2 linked regions of the Cricetulus griseus genome follow. The protein of the gene in region 1 purifies or fractionates together with the protein of each later gene. This does not show direct contact. Links are inferred from orthologs where the notes say so. Each region holds a gene or a part of one and is shown in the gene's direction. Other genes may lie near its edges.

Region 1 (5,607 bases):
GACTAAGTGTGTAATCTAAGTTTGTTTACTCTGTAATTATTATTATCATTGTCTTTTTGCATATTCTTGTTTGTTGTCTTTCTTGTGGCTGGGTTATGTGACTCTAGAAAATATGATTTCATCATTTTAAGAACTTTTGTAAAGGTGGGGATGTAGCTCAGGTAGATCACTTGACTAGTATGTGCCAGGCCCTGAGTTTGAGTTCTAATGCTGCAATCAATCAATCAGTCAATCAATCAATCAATCAAAGAAGCTATAAATGAAAGTCTTTGAAGCACCTTTGAGGCACTTTTCAGAAGCTGTATTTCATTCATTTAATTTTGGATTTGTATCTGTAAGAAGAGAATGCATACCTACGTTATAAAAATAGACACATTGAGGGACTGGAGAGATGGCTCAGCAGTTAAAAGTACTTGTTCTTGCAGAAAACTTGAATCATTTTGAGCACTGACATCAGGTGACTGATAATCACTGGTAAGTCCAGTTACAAGTGATGTGAGGCTTTCTTGTGGCCTCTGAGGGCACCTGCATACATACGATGTACATATATACACTCAGGCCCACATATACACATGTAAAATTTAAAATAATATAATCTATCTCTATATAACTTTTTTGTTATTTTAAACCTTGTAGCTTGAAAAATAAAATATTACTGCATATCTGAGAAGGAAGAGGAAAGGACATGCTACTTGGGGAAAGGGCATTGAGAGATCAGATAAGAAGAGTATGTTACTTTTGGAAAATGAAACTGAAGAGGGAGGGAGGGAGAGAGAGAGAGAGAGAGAGAGAGAGAGAGAGAGAGAGAGAGAGAGAGAGAGAGAACACAAGGACCTGCACAGCACTTGCTCCTGTTTCATTTTGGGAAGTCGTCTGAATTGTCATCAGGGCAAAATAAACAAGGGACATCATTGGCGCTCTGCTGGTAAATCTCTCCAGTTTACTCCACCAAAACATGCATAATAAAACCTTTTAATAAAGTGTAAACATATCATTTGAAAATTAAAACCATTGTTTCTTCCTACATCTCCTCTGAGTTATTATAGTTAGATTGTTTACAACTTAAACTTTGAGGGCTGAGTTTAAATAGGGTGTTTTCAGAATATAAACTTTATAAGAAAAAGGACAGAATGATTGAGGAAGGTAAAACAATGAGACAGTAAAGAACACCTGGGCTGGAAAAAAAAAAAGATGTGAAAAAAAACTCTTCACAATTTGTCACACACACTCACACAGACACACACACACACACACACACACAGGAGGTCACGACTCAACGATGTTTCCTTTATGCTCTAGAACTCTGAGGCCTATTATGCAAAAAAGAAATTTTACATACAAAAGTATGCTATATTTTTTCGTACTGGCATCTATATCATGTAATTACTAAAACAAAAGGCTCATTGTAACCAATTTTCCAACAATATTAAAGATAACTTATTAAAACCTCACCTTTCAGTTTTTGATAATCAGTACTTAGCTGACCATGAAATTTGAGATCTAAAAAAAGATACAAACTATTGAGATAGCTGACAGTCTCTCCCCACAAACTAAAACGAGAACCGTCATCAGAGGACAAGTGAAAATGGGGAAGAAATGTCCCTGTGGCCTCTAAACATCCCTTTTGCCCCGCATTCGGTCCTTTGTTCCATCTGTCTGTCACCTTTCCTCGCTGCACCATCCACTTGTCATGCTAGTCTCCACAGCCACCCCTACAGATCTTCCCCACAAAACGTCCTCTCCTGCCTGTCAGCCCCTCTTAAATCCTCCCAGGGTTCTCCTACACCTGCAGGACACCAGGTGTCCGCGCCGAGACTGGGAACCGTGTAGTGGATCATGCTGCCATCGGGTTTCCCGGTGCGCAAAGGGCCGCGGGGACAGAATTACAGAATTCCGAAGCGTCTGCTTCCATGTCACCCACCCACACAGCACCCAGGAGGTTCCTCCCGGGTACCCCGAGCAGCCCGCACTCACAGCGCACGGTGTGGAACGCACAGCGCGGCTGCTTCTCGAAGCTTTCGCCTAATTTGAGAACCCGCTCGCGACGGTCCAGGTACGCGAGTCCCGCTGGTCCATTCATTCTCTTTCTCTGCCACCCACTTGGCCTTCGCCACCCGCTGTCGCAGCCTTCCAAGCAGCTGCACCGGCCGCGAGCCTGAGCTCGGTCCCTGCCTGCGGGCTGGGATCTCCGGCGCGTGCGCCCGCCCCTTGGAGGCCCCGCGTCCTGATTGGCTGTCTGGAGACAGCTGCCACGCCCATCCCCTGCGGTCCCGCCCCGCCCCTAGCCCCCCTCTCCCGCCCTTAGCCCCCTTCCCGCGTCGCGACGCACGCAGCTCGGCGAACGCAGCCGTGCTGAGGTGCGCGCTGCGGGTCTGGGCCTGAGGTGGACGAAGGCGAGGCGAAGATGAGGTAACAGAGCTGAGGTGGCGCCTGGGATGGCTGAGGCATCCAGGGGGCGGAGAAGCTAGGACGCCAGGCTCTTCGACCTAGTGAACTGGCTGGCGGGGCCTGGTGACCGGAGCTGGGCCTCCTCCGCGCCTGGCCCGCAGGTTTGGAAACGGACGCCTGAGGAGGGGCGGCGGCTGGGCCCAGGCCTGTGGCTTCCCGAGGCCTAGTAGCTCCCGGCCGGTTCTAGAACCCCAGCCGCTACCCCGTCGGTGCCCTGACCAGACTGGAAGCCACTGGAAGTGATGCAGTTCCCTTGAGGGCCGTTTTTTAACCTTTAAACACCACAGGCCTTTTCCCGCCAGGGTTAGGGTCTGAGGAGGGAGCATTTCGGGGCGGGGCGCGGGGCGCGGGGCGCGGGGGGCGGGGGGATGAAGCTTAGGACTAGGGGTAACTGACTGCATTAGGTTTCTGGCATTTGTTTCCATCCTAGTGATTCCTGGAGGCAGTGAAGGGCACGGCCTGGGACTCTTGATTCCTCAAGGATCGGCCTAGCAACAGAGTAAACGTATGAATTGATCAATAATTGTCTTTTTTTTCCCTTTCCTCTTGACACTTCACAGCATCATTGTAAAGTGAGAGAAAGCATTCATTATGAATGTTAGAAGGGAATTCAGTAAAACCATGCAATGAGTTGCTCCAGCAGATGATTTTTTTTTTTTTTCAGGCTAATTGTATCATTCCTCCACTTCTACCTTAAACAGATATGTCAATGTATTTTTCCAGGTGGACAGGTGATTAGGTTTGCCTTCTACCCTCTAAAGGTGCATGGAGACTGTTTTATATGATAATTAGACACGAAGGTTTTGGAGCCAGAATCTCTGAGCTTGTACTCCAGTTTCATTGTAACGCTGTGACTTTGTGCAAGCAATTCAAACAAACGCGTTTATCATTAGAATCATTAGAATTCGGGAAGTAATGATAATAGCTATGCAGAAAACAATGCCCCTCCTTTAGAATTGTTGAGATGGTTAAATGAAATACATGCAAGCAAGTACAATTATAGGGCATGCTTATTTAGGATTCAGCTATACTTTCGTATTTTAAGACATCATTGGTGGCTACCTTCTAAATTTTGAATTGCAGGGCCTAGGAATAGCAGCTTTGCTTACAGATGGAAATATTTGTTTTGAGAAGCTAAGATCGTTGACTTTTGGCCGTCTAATATCAAGGGGCATTTGTTCTGTGGGCCAAATGAGTGCATACATACTTACTTGCACATGGATTTCTATTGCAGTATTGTATATAATAATTTGCAACCTAAATGACATCCAGTGAATGAGATGTTTAAGTATATTTCAATGCACTCTCACAAAGAACAGATAGGATAATGCAGACACTGGAAAGAGTAAGATAATTAACATGCATTCTATAGGAAAGTTTTGTATCTTCTACAATGCTAAGTGTTTTATTGGTCTTTCTTTAAAATGGCTTCAGTGAACTTGTCTATGAATGATTTATATTTTTCCCAAGAAGAAAGATGATTTTTGAATGACTATATTGCAGCCAACTTGTAAATACAAAGATGGGACCATAATGTCAGTCAGAATAATAGCCAAGAAATGAGTTAGATTATTTGAAAATATCTTTTATGTTTATAGTTTTACCTGGAAGAAAAAAAAATGAACATTGTAATTAAAATCACAGGCTTTGATGGATAATAGTGGCACACGCCTTTAATCCCAATGCTTGGGAGGCAGAAGCAGTCAGATCTCAGTGAGTTCAAAGCCAGCCTGGTCTACAAAGCAAGGTCCAGGACAGCCAGGACTGTTATACAGAGAAATACCGTCTTGAAAAACCAAAATAAAATAAATAAATAAATAAATAAATAAATAATCACAGGTTTTATAGCTTCTCGGCTTTTTTTTTTTTTTTTGGATAAGAATAAGTGTAAAATCACAAGATTTGTAGTTAGACTGATATCTAACTAATGCTACCATATATTGGTGGAGCTGTGACAAGTTTCTTCAAGTTTTCTTTTTTTCATTAATGGTTTTTCTTTCAAGATGGTCTCATTATGTAGCTGTGGTTGCCCTGGAACTTACTACATAGACAGGCTGGCCTTGAAATTACAGGGATCCACTTGCCTCTGCCTCCCAAGTACTAGGTTTAAAAGCATGTGCCACTATAACCAGATAAGTTTTATTTATTTTTTAACTGCACATTGGAGATGATTATGGGCACTGCTGCATAGTCCCATAATTTTATCCCATTGTGAGGATAAAATAATGCTTTAAAACCTACTTAGCACAGGTCCTAGCCCATAATATATATTATCCTTTATTAATTAAAAATGTTTTATATTAAATGATACTATTAAGCTTCAAATACTTTAGTACATATAGAGAAGTTTTGGTAAGAAAATTCAGATGTGGACTTTTTTTTACATTTTAGAGTTGATTCAATATAAAAAATTTTTAATTTTCTTGTAATTATATAACCTTTCTGAGGCCTAGTATGTTAGAGCTTTCCAAACCATCTCCAGATTTAGTGATTAGGTAGAAGGGCTTACAGGACTCAACTCATGTATTATCTTACTTGTTAGCTATAATTTGTAGTGAAGATAAGCAAAGCAAAGTTATCAAAGTCAAAGACCATATGGGATACATCCAGAGGAAACCAGGCCTGGTCTTCCAAGATCCTTTCCCATTAGAATTACATAGGACACACACAATTTCTCAAGCAAAACTGTTGTGACAACACCTTTAAAGTGTTTTCTACTAGGGAAGCTTATGAGATACTCAGTGACTAGAATTTTTGCTGGTTTGTGTGTTGAAAGATTGGTCCTTGATATCAATGATGAGAAGTGGTGGAATCTTGAAGAGGTAAGGCCTAGTGGGAAATAATTGGTATCACCAACCTTAAAAGATTTGATATAGTTTCTGTAAAAGTTTTGATAGTCCTTAAGAGAAGATTTACAAAAAGTAAGCTGGCCCCTTCTCAGTCTCTCTTGGGTATCTTTTGCTATCTGATGTCTTCCATGCATGCTATGATACCATCTGTCATATGGCAAAGCCAAGACAGCTCTCACCAGAGCTAAGCATGGCACAAGACCCTTGAACTTTCAGAACTGTGAGCCAAATAAACTTCTTTGTAAAATACTTCATCTCAGGTATTTCATTAAGTATTGAAAATCAGAGAAATAATAATTTTTGGGCTCTA
Region 2 (4,955 bases), on another chromosome or scaffold:
CTAGGACAAGGACTTAATAACATGGACACTCCATAATAGAGTGGAGGTTAGGGTAGGAGAATGTGGAGAAGAGAGAGAGCACTAGGAAGAATTATGCTTCCTGGTGCGTTCTCTGTGGGGCAGGAGAGGAGACTAGAGTTGAGGATAGGAGAGTAGTAAGAATTTGCAACTAGAGTCATTAAACTGGGAAAGGAATTCATCAGAGGTAGTGGTAAAGAATTGTTGGGCGGCTTGAAACCCCAGCTTGGACTGGGTTTAGATATTGGCAGTGATGCGACACACACAGCTTTTTCTGCTGGCTAGTGGCCTTAGAGAAGTAAAGAACAAACGCTGTTTATGGAGATTGATGATGGAGAATAAATTGGCCTGCAAGTATGGTTAAAATGATCAAAGGGGATAGCTACTGTGGGTATAGGGAAATGAGTGCCACCTCCAGGCTGGCTTGGGAAAGAAGTTAGACACCTAAGGCTCGCGATGAGGTGGATGAAGGATGGAGATGGAAGGTGTAGGTTAGATGAGAAAAAGTTTTGCACTTGGAATATGGATAGAAGCTTCACAGAGTAAAGTGTAGAAGAGGCACAGTTTGTAGGATTTCTACAAAGAAGTCATTGTCCTATAAAAATTTAATTAAAGCTCATGTTTTCTTCCTTTTCCCATCGAAAGAAATGGTATTGTAAGAAATTAATCTCAAAGGCACATTTGCATTGGAAAATAGTAGATACATAAAAGGAAAAGCATTTAAATTATTCTCATTAACAATTGAAGTTTTTTTAAGTAAAACTACTTTATTATTTAAATCTAGGCAGGAATATACAATATCAAAATTTCAGGAGAAAAAATTCTGAACATTAAGAGTAAGTGTAAAAATGTTCTAATATGCTTATATTCTCCATTTGCCTTTTCCTTCATTCATTCACTGTATTGTGGGGCACTTCCCATAGCTTTTTAAAAAATAATATAAAACTATTCTGTATTTTATTCAATATTTAGGTTTTAAACATTTTTAACATTTTTTATTAATTTATTTTTTACATTCCAATCCCAGTTCCCTCTCCCTCCTCCCCTCTCGATCTCCCCCATCCCTCTCCCCCAGTTCTCCTGTCCTCAGAGAGGGTAAGGCCTCCCCTAGGAAGTCTACTAAGTCTGTCCCATCATCTCATTGAGGCAGGACCAGGGCACCTCCCCACCCCCAGACCCCTGTGTCTAGCCTTAGCAAGGTGTCTCTTCATATAGAATAGGCTCCACTAATTCAGTTTGTGCATTAGAGATAGATCTTGGACCCACTACCAGTGGCCTCATATATTGTTCCAGTCACACCATTGTCACCTGTATTAAGGGAGTCTAGTTCAGTCTTATGCAGGTTCCCCATTTGTCAGACAGGAGTCAGGAAGATTTTTTAAAATTAATTTAATGTTTGAAGAAAGACTGAATTAGATGAGAAGAAAAGAAATGGAAAGCTACTTTTACAGTGATCTTATGTGTAATTCACTTATAAGATTTCCCCACTTGGTGTCCTATCATTATTTAGTATATTCACAAGTTTTTACACCATCAAACTAAGTGAAGAACGTTTTTCTCTCCCCATTAGCAGCTGTTTCTACTTTTCATTGCCATCTCCTAGCAACTGCTCATCTTTCTGTCTTCATGAATTTTTTTTTCCCCATTTCATTATCTGTCCATTGATGAACATTTGACTTGCTCCTACTTTTTGGCTACTGCAAAATGTAGTTCACCTTCTGTGTCTGCAGGTTCCAAATCCATTCATTGAACCAGCCACCAAATGAAGATATTTGGGGGAAAATGGTTTTTGTGTTGAGCAAGTATGGAGTTGTTTTTTGTTGTTGTTGTTTTTTATCTTTAAACAATACAAATAACAAGCCTTATATAGCATTTGCATTGCATTTGGAATTGTAAATAGTCTAGAGATGATACAAATCTGTAGATTATATTCTAGCATTCTATGTTAAGGACCTTAGACATCTGTGGGTTTGGTATCTATAGGGGGCCCTGGAGATGGTGCCTCCCCACATATACTGAGGTTGGTTGTCATGTTTCTGTGAACACTCACATGTGAGTTTTTCTGTGAATATCTTTTCATAATTTCTTTTGGGAGCTGTGTGCTAGATAACAATGGTAGTTGCATGCATGACTTTGAAGACCCCACCAGACTGTTTTCTGAAGCAATCCCACCAGCTGTATGGAAGAGGCTCCTTCATCAGTACTTCTGTTGCGATCCTTTTGATCCTTTTTAGCTTCCGAACATGTGAAAGTAGTAGGTATCTCACTGTGGATTTCATTTGTGTTTCCCAAGTGGTCTATGATATGGAATGGTTTTGGTTTCTTTTATGAGTCTGCCAAAAGCCAAAGAGCAGCTCCATACAGTTTTCCTTAAGGCATCATCCATCCCCTCCCCCTTTTTTAGACATGGTCTCTCACCAGACTGGCACTCCACAAATAAGTGAGGCAATGGTCAGTGAACCCCAGGGGTCTGCTTGACTCTGTCTTCTCAGTGCTAGGTTAAAAGCAGGGCTCACCATGCACTGCTTGTTGTGTGAGCTTTAGAGGTCAAACAAGATGGGGCTTGTGTCATTCTTGTGAGGAAGCGCTTTACCAACAGAGCTATTGCCCCAGCCCAATACTGAACACTTTTTTTGTATATTTATTGACTATTTGTATGTGTTGTATGTGTTTGTGTGTGCATATATGTATGTATGTGTATGTATGGATATGAGTATATATATGATTATTTGTGTCTGTGTTTCCACTTTAAGTGTTGTTGAGCACTTGGAAAGATTTTTTTACTGTGACAATACTAGTTTTTTTCTGATTCATTTCCAAACTTGTAGCCTCATGCTTTTATGATGTACATATATTAATATATTTATGTGTTTACTAATGAAGACTTAATCATTTGAGTTGTAAATGGAACAGTTTATGAGGGAAGGCAGAGATTTTGATAATGAGCACAATACCTCTATCCTAAATTCTTTTTCAGCTGAGAAAAGATGACAGCGATCAAGCACGCGTTACAGAGAGATATCTTCACTCCGAATGATGAGCGCCTGCTGAGCATTGTGAATGTCTGCAAAGCAGGCAAAAAGAAAAAGAACTGTTTTCTGTGTGCTACAGGTGGGCATTTTTTAAGCAAAAATATGTACTTGATAATCCTTCATTCCTTAGGGTCATTTCTTTCTTTTAAAAGTATTTTCATTGTTTCTATAACTGGAGAAAATTATTGAACTGACAAATTAATTTTTAATTGTTTCTATTGAATATTTAGTGTGTGTAAAAAAAATTTTATATAGTGTAAGATGAGAGCTCCAGTATCTTTGAATTGCCATCGTCTTCCTTACTCCATTCCACTTTACAGCAACAGGTGTCTGGTCTCCTGAATCTTACCATGTTCCCCATGTATGATTTCCAACTATATATTATTTTGTTTTGCTTATCTTTAAACTTTTAATTAATTGAATTATAATTCTTTGTGACCCCTCCCATTCAACAGTACCTTCATGAGCATTTTGTTCATAATTGTTATTGTTTGGAGAACCATTTGCTTTTCAAATGTATCAGCATCCATTCCAAATCTAAACTCCATTTGTTGCCAGAGTCATGTTTTGAAACTAGAAACTAGAGCATTCTGTTTCTGTAATAGCAGCTCGTACTGCCTTAGATGGAGCCCTTGAAGAACTCAGCACCGTCTTTTGTGGTAATTTCATTTCCATCCACCTTCTATTACACTGTGAGGCCTGCATTGGATCATTTCCTCTTGCTCTTTGTGATGACATTAGGCTCTTTCAGGACTCTGCACTTACACATGTCAATCATTAAATTTCCCTCCTACGCCCTTTAAAACAGGTCCTAAGCTATACCTCTCAAGGCATCTGTCTGCCTTTGACCTTCTAGTCTGATTTAGATGCTTCCTTTAGGATTCTGTGAATTCCTCAGTTGACTTATTACAAAATATTGCACTTATTTTAGTGTCACCCTACCAGGCACCTGAAAGTGACATTTACAGTGAGTGAATGAAGATGAGTAGATGACTAAAATTGCTAACAGTCATGTGTATCTTGTTCAACAGTGACAACTGAACGCCCCGTGCAGGTGAAGGTGGTCAAAGTCAAGAAATCTGATAAGGGAGATTTCTACAAAAGGCAGATTGCTTGGGCCCTTCGAGACCTGGCTGTGGTAGATGCCAAAGATGCCATCAAAGTATGTTTTCCATAGTCCTTGGACTTGGGGTCAGAAAATGTCTTTCATGTATCCGTAGTATGGTGTGCCCTGAGATGATCTGAACTTGTTCTGTGACTATAGGCCTGCTATCTGTTGGACTAAAATACATGAATCTCCACCTCTTTACCCCCAATGTTAAACTGCTTAAAATAACTACATGCGCATGTGTGGTTCAGTTTTTACTTTGCTAAAATTACAATTACATTTATGTTCAAGATACATAAACTAGAGCAAAATAATCTTAATACTATGTGTTTATTTAAATATGCTTAGAAAATTCTATAAACTAGTATGGATTTTAAAGTAATATGTTGTATGAGTTAACTTTCTTAAAAATACTCATTGTTTTGGTAAGGTTTGGTTCAAAGCATGTATGATCTACATAAAGGAGCCATCCTTCTTTACTCCTCCTGAGTGAAATGAAGGTTCACCACCCAAGACAGCCAATCTGGACAGTTGACATTTGTGGTTCAATTAAAGGAAGTGATGGAAGGCGGGTTACACACCTTATTTTGAGGTGATTAAGTAAAATTTTAAAGTTATAAATTTGATACCATGTTTGTGTTCAGACTTCAAGGACATAAAGTAATAGTTCAGTAGTCACATTAAAGGCCATCTGTATTCTTGGCAGTTCAGGACTGCTGTTAGTAGTGCACTGTGAAATTAAGTAGGGCTCCTTCCTCTTAGTTAATGGGGTACTTCCTCCATCTCCCCTCCTGGCT

Evidence for each region. Proteins that work in one complex are often made in the same cells at the same time.
Region 2: the proteins of Iqcb1 (region 1) and Exoc1 purify together in Homo sapiens (affinity purification with mass spectrometry; 3 studies listed by BioGRID and IntAct, counting the BioPlex papers as one, with this or other methods). This does not show direct contact. The link is inferred for Cricetulus griseus from reciprocal best matches to the Homo sapiens genes IQCB1 and EXOC1.

The regions. Positions count from the first base shown.
Region 1 is NC_048597.1:53,159,385-53,164,991, reverse strand, and holds the start of Iqcb1 (IQ calmodulin-binding motif-containing protein 1), read left to right. Parts: upstream 1-2,272; 5' UTR 2,273-2,409; intron 2,410-2,852; exon of another isoform or gene 2,853-2,878; 5' UTR 2,879-2,953; intron 2,954-5,607. Other genes in the region: Eaf2 (ELL-associated factor 2), read right to left, coding at 1,975-2,080. UniProt on the Homo sapiens protein: Involved in ciliogenesis. The function in an early step in cilia formation depends on its association with CEP290/NPHP6.
Region 2 is NW_023276807.1:142,974,554-142,979,508, forward strand, and holds part of Exoc1 (exocyst complex component 1), read left to right. Parts: intron 1-2,064; exon of another isoform or gene 2,065-2,272; intron 2,273-2,995; 5' UTR 2,996-3,005; coding exon 3,006-3,129; intron 3,130-4,081; coding exon 4,082-4,212; intron 4,213-4,955.